3 linked regions of the Callithrix jacchus genome follow. The protein of the gene in region 2 interacts with the protein of the main gene of each other region in a pairwise test. Links are inferred from orthologs where the notes say so. Each region holds a gene or a part of one and is shown on either strand. Other genes may lie near its edges. The genes, in order: TSGA10, CDC73 and HSF2BP.

The links.
Region 1: the proteins of CDC73 (region 2) and TSGA10 interact in binary tests that used the Homo sapiens proteins (3 or more experiments, as listed by UniProt). The two-hybrid records come from large-scale screens. The link is inferred for Callithrix jacchus from reciprocal best matches to the Homo sapiens genes CDC73 and TSGA10.
Region 3: the proteins of CDC73 (region 2) and HSF2BP interact in binary tests that used the Homo sapiens proteins (3 or more experiments, as listed by UniProt). The link is inferred for Callithrix jacchus from reciprocal best matches to the Homo sapiens genes CDC73 and HSF2BP.

What each region holds. Positions count from the first base shown.
Region 1 is NC_133515.1:8,703,625-8,707,372, forward strand, and holds the start of TSGA10 (testis-specific gene 10 protein), read right to left. Parts: upstream 2,491-3,748; 5' UTR 2,481-2,490; coding exon 2,424-2,480; exon of another isoform or gene 2,372-2,423; intron 1-2,371. UniProt on the Homo sapiens protein: Plays a role in spermatogenesis. When overexpressed, prevents nuclear localization of HIF1A.
Region 2 is NC_133519.1:50,414,499-50,418,146, reverse strand, and holds part of CDC73 (parafibromin), read right to left. Parts: exon of another isoform or gene 2,959-3,648; coding exon 2,858-2,958; intron 1-2,857.
Region 3 is NC_133522.1:49,329,426-49,333,173, forward strand, and holds the start of HSF2BP (heat shock factor 2-binding protein), read right to left. Parts: upstream 2,159-3,748; 5' UTR 1,997-2,158; intron 416-1,996; 5' UTR 195-415; coding exon 168-194; exon of another isoform or gene 1-167. Other genes in the region: RRP1B (ribosomal RNA processing protein 1 homolog B), read left to right, coding at 2,322-2,451. UniProt on the Homo sapiens protein: Meiotic recombination factor component of recombination bridges involved in meiotic double-strand break repair.

The sequences.
Region 1 (3,748 bases), on a different chromosome or scaffold from region 2:
AAAACACAGGCCCTCACCAGACACTGATTCTACTGGCAACTTACTTTAGAATTCCTAGTCTTCAGAACTATAAGAATTAAATTAATGTTGCTTATATATTTCACTATAGCACCCTGAATGGACTAAGATATGTGCCAATAGCATTCGACTTCAAGTCCCCTGCTCTTGCTTTCCCTCTCTCAGGAACCCTTTTTACCCAGCCCTTCACATGGCTATCTTCAACTCTTTGGCTGAAATGTCAGGTCTTCCCTGACTTCTTACCTAAAGTAGCCTCTATCCCAGTCACTCTCTCAAATAAGTGATAAGCTATTTGCACTTATCACTTCTTGAAATGATATCATTTATTTGCTCACTTGTTTACTGTCTGGCTCCCCCTACTGGCATATAAAATTCAAGAGCCCTAGGCTTTTTGTCTTTTGTTATATCCCTATTGCTTTAAAAGTGCCCAGCACAAAGTTGAAACTCAGTAAAACATTTCCAAAATAAATTTTAATGATTCAAACAAAGCAGTTTCAATGATGGGTGAAAACAAGTCTGAAGAGGACTAATTTATTAATAAATGTAAACTTCTTTTAGGAAGCATGATTGTGAGAGGAAGACAGGTATAGCAAAAGGTGGAAGACGACCAAGGTTACGGAAAGGTCATTACAAAAGGAGAAAAACTTGCTCCTTAAATCTCTTTACATAAGGATCCTCTTTCAGAATTAAAGATGTATTGCCCTGAGACAAGAAAAAGCAAGGATACATGAAGATTTAGACACTCGTAATCTCAATAATCTCAGCACCTTGGGAGGCCAAGGCCAGAGAATCACTTGAGCCCAGGAATTTGAGACCAGCCTGGACAACATAGTGAGTCCCTGTCTCCACAAAAAATGAAAATGAAATTAGCCAGGCCTGGTGGCACCCGCCTGTGGTCCCAGCTACTTGGGAGGCTGAGGTAGGAGAATAACTTGAGCCCAGGAGATCAAGGTTGCAGTGAATCATAATCGCACCACTGCACTCCAGCCTGGGCAACAGAGTGAGATATTTTGGGAAACAATCAGCAAACTAAATACTGCAAGCAGCAATAAAGATTAACCTTAACAAAATGTTGAGTAAAGAAGCAAGATGTAAATGAATACTTAGTACAAATTCTATTTAGAGGAAGTTCAAAAACAAGCCAAACTATAATGTGCATGTTCACATACAATGATGTGAAACATTAAGGAAAATCAAGGAAGTGGCTATCTCTGGGGAGAGAAAGGAACATGTAATCTGAAAAGGTGATATACAGTAATACCTCTAACTGCCTCGGTGTACGGAGGACTTCAAAACCAAATTGTCCTAAACAAACTAGTCTAAGCAACTGAAAAAGAAGACAGAAAAGAGCCCCCAGTGAATCTCTACACCTGATTATATTCTGGGCTACAAGCAGTGATTTTTCTTCAGAAGGTAAACAATGCGTGAAATATTTTGGAAGCTGCCATTAAATAATGCCGAAGTTTATTATTTAAAATTAATATTTCATTAATATACCTTCCTAGTTATCACTAATTAAGACTGAAGAGTTTGGCTAATTAATCAATTAAAATACAAACAAGAATTTGTTTTATCCTGGAGGCAGATTCGAAAGAGGCATTCTACTTACATATTTATAGCTAACCTGTTTTTTTCCTACTTACAAACCGATTGTTATTCTATTTATGTCCTCACACGTAAACAAAGCATATTTGAAATGCTGAAAACCAGTAGAGAACATTTTAAACAAGGAAATTTCCTAGGATAAAAGGGACTGGAATGGAAGAAGGAAAACGCTGGGACACTGTCATCTATGCAAACTTTCCTGAAGCCTCGGGAAAAAAATGTGAAAAAATGTACTTATTTCTGTGAGTTTTTAGGTATCAAGTCCATGATCATCTAGTTATTCAATTTAAGTCTCAAATATGTTTTCAACAAAAGCCAGCTTTCCCTGCCTTTACTGTGTACAACTCTTGCTGAAATTTATCTGAGATTTCCATGCAAATGCCTACGTAATCTCGGTCTTTTACCACCCCAAGTCTAGAAATAGGCTCAGAAGTGAGCGATTGGGAGTCAGGTTTGACTCCCAAATCTATGACTTCCAAATTCCTCGCTCCACCAGAGCGTTTCTAAATAAAACAGTACCCCCAACAATCAAGCGGAAAGCTGCGGCAGGACGCAAAGCGGTGACCATAGGAACTGGGCTTCAGCCTAACTTCCCAAGAAACAGGGACAACGCGTGCTGCTGAGCTTCCGGCCCGCAGCAGTGCCCGCTGCCGCCCCTCACAGCGGCTCCCCCGGCTCCTGCCCACCTCCTCCCGCCACGGCCCACCACCCGCCACTCCCGCCCGCTTGCAGCTGGCTTTTCGGAGACCTTCCGGAGCAGGAGCAGCTCTCCCCACCCTGCGTATCTCCGCAGCTTCTACCTGGAGCTCCGGGTCCCTCCCCGAGCTCCTTGGCCCGATGTCCTCCCCAGAGCTCATCCCCGCGACTGCCACCTCTCGGCCTCCGCCGGGGATACGAGAACCGCCCCATCTCCATCCTCCGCCCCTTTTTCCTCCCTTCCCACCCCCAAATCGTCCTGGCCCCGCCCCAGCGGAGTCGGAGGAAAGAGGGAGCCTGCGCGAAGGAGGCGGGGGCGGTTAGCGCCATCCGGCGCCGCCGTGGCCCCGCCCTCACGATCTGTACCGAGTGGGGCTCGTCTTCTACCTCCCCGGCGCCCCAGCTTTGCTTCCGTCCCACGCGCCCCTAGGCTCCGTGCGCACGCGTACCTGGCTCGACCTTCCCTCTCGCGCTGGCTACAAGCCGTGTGCGCGCACCTACGCACAGAGCGACGCGTACTTCCACCTGCCTGCCTTACAAGGCGCCTTGGAGGGGCTTCTTCTTGGCCTGTTCGCGCCGCGCAGGCGCACGCCCACGCAGCGCCTAGACGCCCGACCCGAGCGTTCCGTCTCCTAGTAACCAGCCGCGAGCCCCCTTTTCCAAGATTCATTTTTTATTTCCTGCTCGTGGCGGCCGCACGTGTATAAAACGCGCATGCGCAAGGCTGTCTGTCGCCGCGCCTCCTACCTGCAGCTTGGAACACCTTCGCGGCGGTGGCTTTGTGCCACTTTTCTCAGGGCTTGGACGTCATTCTGGACTCACGTTCAGTGAACCGGTTACTCCCAGAGTTGCAGCCAGGGCCCATTTTGAGGGAGCCTTCCAGGTCCAGTCCTCCCGCTGCAGCCTGCTGGTAGCAAGCCAACCTGTCCGGGTGAGCACGGGCAGACTGCAATTAGGGGAGCCTGGGGACCACCGTCTCAGTCAGCTCTGCTCGATCTGGGCTGAATCAGAAAGTGGCAGAACTAGCAAAGAAAGTCCAGATTCCTGACCGATATTCCTTTTCCACATGCCAGTCCTTTTCCAAATTCCCTTACCTTAAAGTGGACAAATGAGCTTTTTGGTGAAAAAGAATGAGGGCTGCATTCTACCATTTTTTTGGAGCCCAGCATGGAAAAAGTCTTCTTAATATCTACCATATCCCTTCTTAAATAACCCAAGAGTTTTTGGATGATAATGGTGACTTTATCACCTTTTCCTACAGATGACGTAGATACTGGGTTTTTACAGCAATTCTCTGATGACCTTGATATGGTAGAACGCTGTGTATTTCAAAAGTAAGCTCTCATTTGAGGAGACTAACCCTGTTTTTGCCAGGTGAGTACTCATTTTTTTTTCCCCGACAAGATATTAGCAGGGATAAACAACTTTT
Region 2 (3,648 bases):
TGGTGTAGGATTATGCCTCAATGTTGATGGCTGCTGACTAATAGGGTGTGGTCTTTGATGAATGTTAGGGTGGCTGAGCAATTTCTGAAAATAAGATAATAATAAAGTTTCTGGCACTTACTGAATTTACCTTTCACAAAAGATTTCTCTGCAGTATGTGATAATATTTGACCGCATTTTACTTAAAGAAGAACTTCCTTAAAACTGGACTCAATCTTCTCAAACCCTGCTGCTTTACTATATTTATGTCATGTTCTAAATCCTCTGTTGTCATTTCAACAATGTTTACAGCATCTTCACCAAAGTGCTCACTGGAGTGAATTCTATCTCAAAAAATCACTTTCTTTGCTCATCTGTAAGAAAGAACTCCTCCCTCATCCATTCAAGTTCCAGCATGAGAGTGCAGCAATTCAGTCACATCTTCAAGCTCCACTTCTATTGCTAGTTCCCTTGCTATTTCCACAACCTATCTTCGGTTATTTCCTCTACTGAAGTCTTGAACCCCTCAAAGTCATCCATGAACCATGAAGGTAGCAATCAACTTCTCCTAAACTTCTGGTAATGGTGATATTTTGACCTTCTCCTATTAATCACAAATGCTCTTAATAGCATCTAGAATGGTAAATCTAGGAAAGTTTCAATTTACTTTTCCCTGATCCATCAGAGGAATCAATTTATAGCAGCTACAGCCTTTCAAATCTTATTTCTTAAAAAAAAAAAACCTTGAAAAGTCTAAATTACTCCTTGATCTATGGGCTAAATAATAGATGCTGTGTTAGTAGTCATCAAAACAAAATTCATCTCCTTGAACACCTTCATCAGAACTCTTTTGTGAGTAGGTACATCATCAATCAGCAATAATATCTTGAAAGGAATCTTTCTGAGCAGTAGGTCTCAACAGTAGCTCAAAATATTCACTGAACCCTGAGTCACTGGAAACTTTAGTGAAAATAGTTTTAGTACAGAGCAAGAGCCAGACTACAGGGGATTTGAACAGAAAATGAGTTGGTAGAAACAATTCTTTCTAAAGTGAAGCTATAAAAGGAAAAAGAAGCAGCAAGGGGAAAGGATGAGGTTAAGGGTAAGGGTTTTGTTTTGTTGTTTAAGATGGAAGGGGAAAGAGTATTCTTAAATGCTGAGAGAGGAGTCAGTGTAGAAGGAATAGGTGAAAGAGAAAGAATAACTAATTAAAGTAAATCAATGATGACCGTTAAAAGAAAATTCTCTAAATTCTTATCTAAATTTCAAAAGACTAACAATTTGAACAAAATAATAAAAAACATTTTTATATTCTTAATGAATTTCATACATTTATATCTTGAAGACACTCTAATCATTTTGCTGAAATATTATTATTCAACAAGGCAAGCAAGTAGGTAAAACAATACACACTGACATTTTACTTTGATTCAAATTCCCATTCTTTTTATTTAACTTTCTATTTACCAACTCCGTGCCTTACTCAAGTTTCAAAAATAACATAAAAAGCTATCATAATGTAATAATAGAATTCTTTTTTTTTTTTTTAAATGAATGAAGGTAATAGAAGAACACTACAACTTTCAAGCTTGGGTACTTTCTATGGAAAAATGATGGTACCACTAACAAAAACTGGGGCTGCTAAAAACAAAGGGCATTTCACAGGATTGTTCGTAGTACAATCAACATTCATAATAACTAAGGTCACTTTTTTTTTTGAGACAGAGTCTTGCTCTATCGCCAGGCTGGAGTGCAGTGGTGCAATCTCAGCTCACTGCAACCTCCACCTCCTAGGTTCAAGCACCTCAGCCTCCTGAGTAGCTGGGACCACAGGCGCGAGTCACCATATCCACCTAATTTTTGTATTTTTAGTAGCAACGGGGTTTCACCATGTTGGCCATCCTGGTCTCGATCTCTTAACCTCATGATCCGCCCACCTTGGCCTCCCAAAGTGCTGGGATTACAGGCATGAGCCATGGCGCCCAGCCTAAAGTTGTCACTTCTAATAAATATACTTTTTTCATGAAAATGACATTTTAAAATAAATTTTACTTATGTTACTAATTTAATTGAATACTGTAATTAATTAAAGAATTGTTGGAATACCCCTTCCAGCAAATAAACAGGTGAAATTAATCTTTTGTTATATCAATTTATGCTCATATGTTTAATAAACATTAAACACGCATGAAATGCTTCATTCAGCAGATATTTACTGAAAGCCTCTCTGTGCCAGGCACTCTTCTGTACTGAGGACTCAAGGTAAATAAGGCACAGGAGGACTCTCCCATCATGAAACTTGCATTCCAGCTAGGGAACACTTAGAATAAAAATATAACAATTAGAAAACGCCTAGGAATGGTAAATGCTATCAAGAAAATAAAAAAGCTTAAAGAGCAAATGGGAGATGGTGATAGTTATTTGAAAGAAGAAAGTCAGAGACAGATTCACCAAAGAGAAAACACTTCAGCAGAGCTCTGAATGAAGAGAAAAAGTCAACTTACAATCATTTCAGATGAAAGGAAGAGCTGGTAAACGTCATTATGGCATTTTAATTTACACATTTCTGTTCATCAAAAGCCAACCCATTTAAAACTGGCATTAATTTTAATCAAAATGTATGGGCATGCAACAGTATGGATGATTTTTAAGTGATCTAAAAATAATTATTGATGTTGTGGACAGGCAATACTCACTTTCAGATATACCTATCCAGAAAGTACTAATGTATCAAACTTTTAAAAACACGTCACCGGTGCTTAAATACTCACACAGTATATTCTACTTAACAGCAATCCTTTCAGATACACGTCGCATGTGCAGAACCATGTGACTCTCTAAACAAGGTGAGAACATTCAGCAACAAAGAGAATCTTACTTTTAGCAAATATATCAACTGGTGATCCATCAGGCAAAAGCCATGGCCAGCCTTTGAACTGCCATGCAGGACCTTGCACAAAAACGGCTACAACGCGGTCCCTACAAGTAGAAAAGGGGGTGTGGGGAGGTAGAGGACAGAGGGAGATTATCTCAAACTTGAGCTTTAGTTACTATAAATCCCTTAGACAACAGTCCTGTAATCGTTCATGTGACAGTCTTATCAATCCTTCTATGAGGCAAATACAGTAAGTACTTACCAACTTTTCAATATGATATTGTCATTAGAGTGTATTAATCATTGTTATACTTCCCATGCATCTGGTTTTTACATCTAAGTTTTTTAAACGTAATGGCATGGATAATACTTGTATGTAATCCTGTTTGCCTTTTCTGTTCCCTTCTGTTAATTACAGCAGGGGCCCACTATTCCAACACAATAGGGAATAGTGGTTGAAAACTATTTTTTTTTTTTGTTTGTTTTGAGACGGAGTTTCGCTCTTGTTGCCCAGGCTGGAGTGCAATGGCGCGATCTCGGCTCACCACAACCTCCGCCTCCTGGGTTCAGGCAATTCTCCTGCCTCAGCCTCCTGAGTAGCTGGGATTATTACAGGCACGCGCGACCATGCCCAGCTAAATTTTTGTATTTTTAGTAGAGACGGGCTTTCAGCATGTTGACCAGGTTGGTCCCGATATCTCGACCTCGTGATCCACCTGCCTCGGCCTCCCAAAGTGCTGGGATTACAGGCGTGAGCCACCACGCGTGGCCTGGTTGATAACTATTAATCAAAA
Region 3 (3,748 bases), on a different chromosome or scaffold from region 2:
CGAAGTCGCCTCGCGCCCAGGCCTCCACCCCGTTCCGCCGCAGCCCACGCTGTCCGGGGCCCGGTCTCCAGGCCTCCCCAAGCACGGGACAGCGGGCCGACCGCGAGCGCAGCGGGCGAGGCTCCGCGGGTGCCAGTGGCCGGGGCCTCCTCCCCGACCCAACTGACCTCCTGAGCGCCGCTCGCTTCGTCCATGGCCGCCGCCCCCTGCGCTACGTTCCTTGCGTGAAGGCGGCGACCTCTGACCCCTCACGCCAGAAAGCGCGGGAACGCGTCCACGGGGGTCGGGAACGGAGAGCCACGAGGCTCAAACCTCGCAGAACCTGAGCGGCATTCTCCGCCTGGGGGGCGAGGAGCGGCCGTGATGAGGACGCGCTTTGGCTCTTCCGGCTGAGCCCGGATTTTAAACTTGTTATCTACGAAGCAGAAGGAAAGTCAGCCCCTGCTGTAAGCGTCATGTGAAAGAAATCGGGGCCGGGCGCGGCGGCTCACGCCTGTAATCCCAGCACTTTGGGAGGCCGAGGCGGGTGGATCACGAGGTCAAGAGATCGAGACCATCCAGGTCAACACGGTGAAACCCCGTCTCTACTAAAAATACAAAAATTAGCTGGGCACGGTGGCACGTGCCTGTAATCCCAGCTACTCGGGAGGCTGAGGCAGGAGAATGGCTTGAACCCAGGAGGCAGAGGTTGCGGTGAGCCGAGATCGCGCCATTGCACTCCAGCCTGGGTAACAAGAGCGAAACTCCGTCTCAAAAAAAAAAAAAAAAAAAGAAAAAAAATCGGAGGGGTCCTTTCTGCTTGGCGGGGAGTGCTGCCCTAAGGGGGACTGCGTTGAAACGGGCAATCTTGGCTGGAAACTCGCCTCCGCGGCCCGCCTTCCCTCGCTGGGATTCAGGCGCTTTCATATTAAGGGTTGAATTTGGCCACAGGCATCTCGGGAGGTCGCCCAGATAACTGAATGGGGTTAACGTACATAACCCCCCACACACTACGTTTGGAGTCATCTAGGCCATTAACGCCTGCCGAGTCCGCAAGCTATAGGATGGCCTCGGGTTATACATGAACCCAAAGCTGATTTCTTCCCTCCCAAGCAGCCCGCCCTGCCCAGCTCCCCCGGGAAGCGCGCGTGCTCTCCAGGCCTCGGGACGCCGGCGCGGGCGCCCCTGCACTGGCACCAGGGCTCCGGGGTAGGGGCGTGCCGAGCTGCCCGAGGCTCCGCTGGCGCTGGCGAAAGGAACGCTCTCCACCCGCTCAGCAGGCCCCAGTGCCGGCCTTTCCTTCCACTCTCGACTCCACCCGGGGGGACCCGGAGGCTCCACAATTAAAAACTTCGTAGGAGAGCTGCCGGCCCAACGGGGTGTGCTAAAGGGGACTAAAGATCCTGGACCGGGCCGGGCGCGGTGGCTCACGCCTGTAATCCCAGCACTTTGGGAGGCCGAGGCGGGTGGATCACGAGCTCAAGAGAGCGAGACCATCCTGGTCAACATGGTGAAACCCCGTCTCTACCAAAAATACAAAAAATTAGCTGGGCATGCCTGTAATCCCAGCTGCTCAGGAGGCTGAGGCAGGAGAATTGCCTGAACCCAGGAGGCGGAGGTTGCGGTGAGCCGAGATCGCGCCATTGCACTCCAGCCTGGGTAACAAGAGCCAAACTCCGTCTCAAAAAGAAAAAAAAAAGATCCTGGACCGTGGCCAGGCGCGGTGGCTGCAGCCTGTACTCCCAGCGCTCAGAGAGGCCGAGGCGGGAGGATCGCTTGAGGCTAGGAGTTTGAGAGCAGCCTGGGCAACACAACGAGACCCCGTCTCTATAAAAGATGATAATAATTAGCGGGGCGTGATGGCGCGCGCCTGTAGTCTCAGCTACTCCGGCGGTCGACGTGGGAGGATCGCTTGAGTCTGGGAGGTCGAGGCTGCAGTGAGCCGAGATCGCGCCACTGCACTCCAGCATGGGCGACATAGCAAGACCTTGTGTCAAACAAATAAAAATTCCTAGACCGTTTGCCAACATCCGTCCGTCTCCTCCCGGCCAAGTCCTAACCCTGGCTAACTTCGCCGTCTACAGCCTCAATTCTGGCAATCGAAAGGCAGCGACGGAGCCAAGCACACGCGGGACAGACCGCCACGACGGCCGCCAGGGCCAGGGCCGCGCTCACTCCCAGAACGCACCACGAGCGCCGGCGCCTTTGTGACGCCATCAGCCCGCGCGTCACCGCCGCCTACTGCGCAGTCGCGGCTCGTGCGGACGGCGACGGCTCAGCGGTGCACGGTTGGCGGCAGCGGCACTGTGGGTTGCGCGGCCGGGGATGCCCCAGCGGGCGCGATGGCCCCCGCCATGCAGCCGGCCGAGATCCAGTTTGCCCAGCGGCTGGCGTCCAGCGAGAAGGGCATCCGGGACCGGGCGGTGAAGAAGCTGCGCCAGTACATCAGCGTGAAGACGCAGAGGGAGACAGGTGGGCGCACGGCGGCGGTCAGCCGCGCCACATGGCGGGCCCGGGGCAGGGGCGGCGGCGCGGAACGCGGCTTCCATGCGTTGTCGTGACACCGAGAGTGTCCTCCGGTTTCCGCGCTGCCAGAACTGCTTCTTGCTGTCTAGTGCCTTTTTACAGTTGAGGAAACAGGTTGAGGGGGTTCTGTTACTTGCGAAAGTCACGGTGAGCGGGGAAGCTGAGAAAAGACCCACATGGGGCGGATTCCCTGACCCGCATCTCGCATCACTGGGCTGCCCTGATGCAGCTCAACGGCAGTGCTGTGTGATCTGGCCACTGCCTACATCTCCAGCTTCATCTCATAACACTCTCCCCCTCCCCAGCTTACCGGCATCTGGCATCACTGCGCTGCCCTGCTGTCCCGCCGGTGATTCCCGCCTTTCTTTGACCAGCACCTTTACGTGCGGGGGCTGCAGGCGAGAAGACAAAATCCCTTCTCTGGAGGATCTGTTGGTGATAAAGCAAGGAGACAATCAGGCAAATAAAGTAGACCTCGTGTAAGTGTAGTGAAGGGAATGAAAGCCAGGTAGTACGCCGGGCATGGCGGATCATACCTGTAATCCCAGCACTTTGGGAGGCCAAGGCGGGCGGATCACCTGAGGTCAGGGGTTCGAGACCAGCTTGGCCAACTTGGTGAAACCCTGTCTCTACCAAAAATACAAAAATTAGCCAGGCGCAGTGGCGCGGGCCTGTAGCCCCAGCTTCTCGGGAGGCTGGGGAGGTAGACTTGCTTAAACCCGAGAGGGCAAGGTTGCAGTGAGCCGAGATTGCACCATTGCTCTGCAGCCTGGACGATAGAGCAAGAATTTGTCTTCTAAAAACAAAAAGAAGAAGAAGAGAGAAGAAAGAAAGAAAAACAGGTAATAGAAAAAAAAGTGAAGGAGGTTGCTCTTCGTGAGAGGCTGTTCTGAGAAGGCCTCACTGGGTGATGTTCAGCTGGGATCTGAAGAGAGATGGGCGGAAACCACCTATGCCGTGACAGGAAGGAGTGAATGCCCTCCCCTAGGAGTGGTTGAAAGACCAGTAAGCTGGGGAGGGGGAAAGTGTTATGAGATGAAGCTGGAGATGTAGGCAGTGGCCAGATCACACAGCACTGCTGTTGAAGGATTTCACTTACCTGATCCAAAAATATTTTTTGTAAACTCTTGAGTGAGCCCATATGATATGAACCACAATGTGTGATAGAGGTTTTACGCTGCAGCAAGATTAAGTGTGATTTAGCTGCTGCTGGTATTAATACATTAGAATCTGCTTAGAAGAG